Bombyx mori: one gene and its partner. The protein of the gene in region 1 binds, or shares a complex with, the protein of each later gene. Links are inferred from orthologs where the notes say so. Each region holds a gene or a part of one and is shown on either strand. Other genes may lie near its edges.

Region 1 (4,262 bases):
CTAGCTAACTTATCTCACAAATTGTAATTCGCTCCAACACAACTGTGCCATCTATTAGTCGACACAGGCTTCATTTTCAAGCATTATAGAGAAAAAAACACAAAAATTACAAAACTGTCAATAGATGTCGCATTTAGATGATTATTAACCGTCAATTATTTCGCTTTGTAGTTTTGGCGTTAAGCAGCGGTAGGCAGCGACTTGGCTCTGCCCCTGGCATTGTTGAAGCCCATGGGCGACGGTAACCACTCACCATCAGGTGGGCCGTATGCTCGTCTGCCTACAAGGGCAATAAAAAAAAAGCAGTAGGCAACAATCAAACTGGTATACATAATTTAATATATACTATCTAAACGGAAACATAATATGAATCAGGGCCCATGGGCAATACTTCTTGTGGCAGCACCGTTGAAAGACGACCGCCCCATTTAAACAAGCGCAGCGATCCTTCATAACCACTCTCGATGCTTTTAGGCATCACAAGCATCGGTCAACTTATTCGTTGAACCCGTTCAAGCGATGAAGGGCTCGGCGAGTAAATTAACTCACAGACACAGCGCACTGAGTTTCTCGCCGGAATTTCTCAGTGGGTTGCGATTCCGATCTGGTGTAGATTCAGCCAAGCAGTGTCCTGGTTAAGGCTAATGTTTGCAAATTATTCAGGCTGACCACCATGAGCTCGTTCTACACGTAGCCATAAGTAGGTCAAAAAAAAGGACGAGTACGACATCAAACACGCAACAACCAATACCTCAATTCCGTCCACCCCAGTGCTACACCGCTCAGCGTTGAGTGCATCTCAACATGCTCTAACACCATCACACACAAATGTATGTACTGTCTGGTGTTTTTAAATGCGTACAAAAATATTTCTGTCAATACAACACATCAGAGAAAACTATAATAGACTCAAATCTATTTTTTGTGATGTAGGGATAGCTGGCGGTCCCAAGGTCTTTCTAGTTTCAATAGCTAAAACGGCTAAATGAGTACGAAATAGTCTTGGGAGCTTCAAAATACACAACGAGAACACTCTTTTTAATTAGGAAAATACATTATTTTACTCTTAAATTAAAATACAAAACAATTTTTTTAAACTTGTAATATTTTTCTATTCGTTTCATTTCACCATTTATACTGATAGCTGACAAGATTTTTCATAAAATGATCCTGTATAGGCTAAGACCCTTTCGCCTGTTTCGTGAGATAAATAAAATATAACACTGTCGGCCATATTGAAAATTTTAGTAAATCGGGAATTATCGTCTGCAATGGATTCTTACTTTTCTAAATCAATTTGTGAACATACGTCTGTTGGGGCTTCGCCAATATTATGTCATTTGTTCATTGTTTTTCAATCCGACCGTGATAATTGCAGAAAATCGTCTTCAGTTTGACGAATTACACTCGAGTTTTGTTGTTGTCTAGAAAACGACGACTCTGGAGACATCTTGTGAGTGATAAGTCACTGTCGATAGTTGTCCGATTTTGGTGTTCAGGTGAAAAGTTTTCATATTAATTCAGCTGCTGATTCTGGAGTCCTAAAAATGGACGTGTCATGGGGTACGTACTGTTTAATACAATAACAAAATAGATTTTATAAATATCTACATTCGTAATGTCAATCGTGGTACATTCCAGACGCAGATAACTTCGAGCCCAAACTCCCGACCACGTTGGCAGCTTCCAACAAATGGGAAGGGGAAGACGAGGATGATAACGTAAAGGTAATCATTGGTGTGCCAAGTAGTTTGTATACAGTGTTCTAACTTCTAAATGTATTACGAATCTTCTCAAAACAGTACATAACCTAAATGACTGCCTACGTGTTGACGTCAGACTTTATTCGCAGGAAAGCTGGGAGGATGAGGAGGAGGAAAAGAAAGACGAAGAAAAGACTGAGGCAGCGCCACCTCCACAACCGAAACCTAAAAAGAAAATACACGATAAAATAGCCGAAAGAGAGGTATAGTGCTTTTAAAACATATGTTTAATGATTTAGAGATTTTATAGTCTAAACTCTACTAGAATAGCTTCTAGTTTATAGAATAGATAATTATAATTATATGGTAACATAAATTACTACCCATTTAGTGGTATTTTAACACATGAACTTAATAGTTTTGTTACACATAAACTTGGTAATGTTGAGCATTGTTGAAGCCAATTGCATCCTCTATTAACCAAAAGTTGTCTAAAAATAATTTTAAAACATTTAATTGCATTGTATACATACCAAAAATAGAAATAAGATTTGAAGGAAAAATAATATATGTAGTCTATTGTAAAATTTAAGACTTAATATATAGACACTGATATTTATTGCCTGCTTCGCCATGATCATCCATCTAGTGGAATAGATAAAATATGCACTCCATTTGAAATCAGTTTAAATGTTCTTTTTTTTATAATACCAATCACTGGCAAATTATCTTAATTATCATCTTCTTCTTTGTTCTTTCTCTCTCTGCTGGGGTGTAGGGCTCGAATCATATTCTTTCGTTTGCAGTCAATGGTATTTTTTTAATTAATAGTGAAGAAAAAACTGATAAATAAAAAAAACTAAATCTGTTGACAAACAGAAGAGAAAATTTTATTTAGCTTTTTATTGTACCCATCTATGTATAAATTAGATTCACATAATCATTAGATACCTATCGAGTTTAACATTAGCCAGTGTTTGTCTAAAATTTGTTTTGCAAAAGTCATTGACGCTTATTTATATAAAATTCGTGGAGATAACTTATTATATTATGAAATTACAGTAACTGTATGTACTGCTCTGATGCAAATTTCAACTATAAATATTTACACAAAAAATAATTAAAAAGGACAAGTTAAATACAAATAATTTATAATAAATATCAAGGTTCCAGTATGCATAAAGAAGGTTAACAAGATAGATTACTCATGGATTATCATCACCTTGCAATTAATATTAAATTCATTTGACAGCATAAAATATCAGAATAATAATTAAAATATATTAAGAACCCATTAATTATTAATATTTAAAAAACAACAGAAAAGAAATCTGGTGCTAGTGAGGGTGTTCCTGTTAGGTAACATAAAAAGTGGAATTTAAAAATAACATTTTGCTAGCAATTGTTCACTCAGTAATGATAGCTGACGATCCCACTCAGTCATCATATATCATCTTCCTTGACATATTGTGTGTCAACATCTGGTTATGACTGATTATGTGCTCAAATATGGTTAGGGAAGCCACATTTTGTCTTGAAGGGTCTGTTGCAGGGTGCACAATACAACAGCCCATCAGCATTCTACATAAAGTATAGGAGGAAGGCCAAATTTTGTATACACTTTTTTTTTTCAAATCTTGAGACAGCTTTGTGAGCATATCTGTATCATTCTGGACTCCGTTGTGTGCGATATTAGACACAGTTGGATGACATTCTAAAACATCCCCTGTAACATTAGCATTGCCCTCCAGGTGCTCACTGTTCATAATTCAGCTGTTAGTAAAAGACAAATCTAGGAAACTTAGAGTCATCCACACTTGTTGGAAGTGCTTCAATACTATTTACCTTCATCCTCAATATCTCAGTTTGAGACTTGATCTTGCCGCTTTATGCAAAGTATGGATGTTACACACTTTATGTTGATGGTGTTGCTTGATATCACCTCTGTAGTCCTGGTGGCATAAAGCGTATTGCTTTATTACCTTATATACAGCGATCATTGTGTGCAGACAAAGGTCATGTGAGGCCCTGACTCTTTTGCACAGCATTCAACACCCTTTGCAATTCATGAGGAATTTGTATTAAAATTTTGTATAGGGTATGACAATATTAAGTTAAAGGTTAACTTACATCATGTTTGGGATAATAACCAAATCTAAAATACGATAATTCACCAGAAAAATGAACATAGTTTCATAACTTCATAGAATTGACAGGCTATAGTTGCTCTTGAATTGATATAATATCCATAATATTTAAATTATAAAATTTTACTAGCGACAAGAACGTGAGAAGGCTGAACGTCTCGTGACAGAGAAGACTGCAGAAGAAATGACTCCAGAGCAGAAGTTGGCTGAGAAACTTCGCCAGCAGAAGCTACAGGAAGAATCAGATTTGCGACTAGCCATGGAAACCTTTGGTATGCTTGATTGATTTGGTGTGCTCGTATTACAGTTTGTGGATTCCAAAATAAGATTCATTTTAAGCAATAATTAGTAGACATTCTAAAAGAGGGTTTATAATCCCTAATATAATGAAGTTGTTGTGGCCTAATGGATA
Region 2 (4,333 bases), on another chromosome or scaffold:
AAAAGGTTTTTTAGAACTTTATAGGAGAACAATTTGGTCATACATTGTTTTAGCGAAACTTTAACCGTTTCCACAGCGCACGCAGCAGAAGCTTTCAAAACAGAAAAATACCCTCATTTTGAAATGTTTCAAATTTTCTTTATTGGTGCTCCGCTTGTAGTGGTCTTAGCATGATGTTATATAGCCTCTATATAGTATTTCTGAATGAATGAGCTATATAAAACTAAAATATTTTTTCAAATCGGACCAGTAGTTCCTGAGATTAACGCGTTCAATCAAATAAACAAACAATCTATTGTTCTTAATTTTCACGTCATTTCAGATCCTCCCAATCCACTAACGGTGCTTTTAGGTATCCCAAGCACCAGTCATCGTTCTCGTCGAATGACGGATGGCTCGGCTAGTAAATTAACCTAAAGACACAGCCCACTGAGTTTCTCGCTGGATATTTTCAGTGGATCGCGTTTCCGATCCGGTGATAGATTCTGCGAAGCACGGTTCTTACTGGGGTTCGTGTTAGCAACAACGTCAAATTTGAGCCCCGTGCGCTCACCCTGATATGGTATCTCAAGACCATCAGCTTAGGTAGGAAAACAAAAAAAAACAATCTTAAGTTTTATCGATGTTGTTCATAATATGGACGATAAAGTGCTCTTTATGTGTTTGAAAAAGTGTCCGTCTAAAACCGACTAATTTGTGTGCAATCATAGCAAGTGGCTTAACTTCGAAAATAGCGTTAAAGCTATTGATACATTTTTCAAGTCAGCACACTTCACTTCGTTTGCAACTGCGAAATTCATATCATACCACTGGCTACGCGTACGCACTTTTTTTACTGGGTTTTTAAGTTGTGATTTGCTGCTTATGGCTGAAATTTTTTTGAACTTGTCCTCCATGTCCTTGGGTCTTCCTATGATTGTTCGCAAGCATAGAACCCAACCGATTAATTAAATACTTAAATTAACCAACTTCAGATCATTCACTATAATTAAACAGTGTAAAAAAAGAAATAACACTTTGCTTAAAGATCTTGCTAACATGCCATAAATCTTCAAAAAAAAAAAAGCTGTGCACATTGAACATAATGTGTATTGTCTATGGTTGGCTTCGGCCTTATTGAAATTTTTATTTCAGGAAGAAATTATAAAGGACTTGGCTTCGACCTTAATGAAATTTTTATTTCAGGATATAATATAAAACACACAAGACCTGCCTTCGGCTTTTTTGAAAATTTATTTCAGAAATTATATAGAGCAGATGAGGCTGTATGACCTTAGATCTCCTTGTCTTTCCTAATAAGGAAAAACTGTACCAAAAAAAAATGTCTATGATTGGATAGGAGAACGTATACGAAATTGCGAATGGCTGAATAGGTTATTCTCAAATTAAATACTCGTTCAGACGCATAAACTCTAACGTATGAATACTGTTAGATTCTATTAACAACCATGTATTCCAGCGACGATTATAATGAGGTATCTATATTTTTCAATATTAAAATATACAGTAAAAATTCAACCTATGGCCAACATTGGACGTCTGTGGAATGCTGATATTGATGGCTCACCAACATTACCACATATCCTGGTAAATATGTAAATAAGTATATACACAATATTATAAATATATATTTGTGTTATTCCAGGGAGGTTACGAATCCTATGGCGACTATGAAGCACAGTCCACAGAACACTACGAGCCGGAATATGACAGGTCTTCTTATTATAAAATGCCTGACATGGTAAGTTCTCATCTCATATTTAAGTACTATATCATAACATAACGTTATAAAAATACCATATTTTGATGCTATGGTTTGCAAACATGGAATAGTTTATGAATGCATCATATTATAGAATGGTTTTTAAACGATATAGAGATTCATTGATGATTACTACTGACATTTTATAAAACAGAAACCTAGTCATGTAACAGTCATAATACACAAAATATCTAAATTTTTACATAATTTGAACTGTACCTACGTTTTATTTTGATGGTAATATTTCATAAGCTATCTGTGAAATAGTAACAAATTATGTATCAAGTTTCCATCTAGTTATTTCATAAGGTAAAAGGAGAATGACCAAAAGTCGTCTAGCAAAGTTGCATGTTGCAGAATCAAAATAACATCGAAATAGTTTTCTCATTTTTTACAACCATTTTCACTACAGAAATGTTTTGTACAGGACTGGAATTATGATTTTAAGATTAATAGTAAATGAACAATTGTTCGCATCATTTCCGTATTAAAGTCATGAGATGACGTTTCGTTCTCTCTATTTAGACAGATTACTCATGCATGAGTTTTTAGACTCAATTATCACAAAAATGATATCAAAGTCTTGGACAGTTAAATAACTGGGTATATTATATTCTTATATTATATTTTACAACACATTGAATTATGATTTTATCATTAAGTGAAAATAATAATTTTTTTGTGTTCCGTTTCACGCAGACCCAACTGTCAAGCTTATGATATTGTCGATAGACGAGCCGGCGCGGCGGCTGCAACCCAGCAAGTGGCCATACGTTTTTATGTACCTAAACCTAAAAGTGTTTTATTACGCCAGGACGTTTATATGTTTTGTTTATGAACTCTTGAGTCTTCTGTAATTCTATAATCATGTTGATGCTTGAGCCTCTGATAATGAGGAGAAGTCGGTGTGTGAAAACTATGATTAATATGTTTTGTTTGTGGGCCTAACATTATTTATAGGTTATGTCCGTTTTGGTCTAATTACTTGAAAACCCGGTTAATTATGATTATGGGGAAGCGAACACTTTTATTCCATAATAAACTACTCAAAACAAAATAGGGCCCACCATGTTTTTTAAATGAATTTTACAGATTATTTTTCTTTTTTCAGTTTTTATGATTAGGAATGAATAAATTAAGTTTTTTGAAAGTGTGTAAACATTAACAACAGTAAGTTTAGCCAATTTTATGGAATTTAGTCAAAATTTACAGTTTTTAGAAAAGTTGACAGAAATTTTTGATTTAAGTAAAGTTTGATTTTGATTTTTATTATTGACTTAATCAATGAGTTTGATGGTGCTTAATAGCGAGTAGGTCCTCCTCTGTTCCGTATGCACTCTCTGACCCTATCTGGGACGCTTTCAATCAAGTGGGTGATGTTTTCCTCGGGTATTCGCCCCCAACACAATTTTAGGGCGTTTATGAGCTCTTGTCGATTAGTCACATTACTGAAGTTCGATTTGAGACTTCTTTTCAGTTGGTCCCATAAATGTTCAATGGAGTTAAGATCGGAACTCATGGCCGGCCACGGTAAAACCGTAATATTGGCCTCAGAGAAAGCTCTCTGGGTTGTTCGCGCTTTATGTGAGCGAGCATTGTCTTGCATAAAGACGAAGTTTTCACCTACTCTTGGTGAAAATGGGATGACATGGGGCCGAATTATTCGATCGACATGCCGGGAGGCAGCTATGGGGCCTTCTTCCAGAATTACCAGCTCAGCTTTACCGAGCAAGCTTATTCCAGCCCACACCATAACATTTGGACCTCCAAAACGATCCCTTTCACGTATGCAAGGTTCTGAAAAACGTTCTCCTTCTCTTCTCCACACGCGCACTCGACGATCATCGCAGAAAAACTTCACTTTACTTTCGTCCGTAAAGAGTACATTTCTCCAGTTGTCCGTTGTCCACTCCGCGTGCTCGCGAGCAAACCTCAAACGCGCTGCACGATGCGCTCTTGTCAATATTAGACGAATAACATGAGATCTGGAATGTTGTCCGTCTTCATGGAGCTGATTTCGAACGGTTTGATCACCAATTCGTGTACCAGTCGATTGCCGCAGTCGATTTTGTAAGACGCGGGCGAAAATCGTACGCTCTCGACGTGCAGTCAATCCGATATACCGGTCTTCCTGAACGGTTGTAGCTCGGGCTCTTCCTGATCCAGATCTCCTCGTGACACTACCTGTCTCTAGAAAGCGTTCCCACGCGTTTCGAATAGCTCGTCGCGACACACCACGACGTCTTGCCACTGATCTCTGAGATTCTCCCTCCTGAAGCATAAACACTGCTCTTGTTGCTGTTTCCACATCCATATGACGCCGAGAGCCAGGCATAATGATCGCGAGTAACACCGAAATCAAGTCAAAATGAAAAAAGTAGACGTGCGACTGTAACATTCAGAACGTGACTGAGGGTACAAATGACTGAGAATTTGAGTAATAAACGTTTTTTGGAGTACTTCACTTTTTTTGTCTACACACCATTGAATTCCTGACTTGAAACATTGATAACGTTAGATAAACATGTCAACAATACTTCGAAATGTTTAATTTCACTATTTACTACCAAA

The links.
Region 2: eukaryotic translation initiation factor 3 subunit J (region 1) and eukaryotic translation initiation factor 3 subunit L share a complex: the UniProt entries of both Drosophila melanogaster proteins name them as parts of the eukaryotic translation initiation factor 3 (eIF-3) complex. The link is inferred for Bombyx mori from reciprocal best matches to the Drosophila melanogaster genes eIF3j and eIF3l.

The regions. Positions count from the first base shown.
Region 1 is NC_085125.1:12,537,475-12,541,736, forward strand, and holds the start of eukaryotic translation initiation factor 3 subunit J, read left to right. Parts: upstream 1-1,448; 5' UTR 1,449-1,547; coding exon 1,548-1,563; intron 1,564-1,641; coding exon 1,642-1,727; intron 1,728-1,852; coding exon 1,853-1,966; intron 1,967-3,980; coding exon 3,981-4,122; intron 4,123-4,262. UniProt on the Drosophila melanogaster protein: Component of the eukaryotic translation initiation factor 3 (eIF-3) complex, which is involved in protein synthesis of a specialized repertoire of mRNAs and, together with other initiation factors, stimulates binding of mRNA and methionyl-tRNAi to the 40S ribosome.
Region 2 is NC_085117.1:14,771,204-14,775,536, reverse strand, and holds the start of eukaryotic translation initiation factor 3 subunit L, read left to right. Parts: upstream 1-1,260; 5' UTR 1,261-1,448; coding exon 1,449-1,475; intron 1,476-1,645; coding exon 1,646-1,741; intron 1,742-4,333. UniProt on the Drosophila melanogaster protein: Component of the eukaryotic translation initiation factor 3 (eIF-3) complex, which is involved in protein synthesis of a specialized repertoire of mRNAs and, together with other initiation factors, stimulates binding of mRNA and methionyl-tRNAi to the 40S ribosome.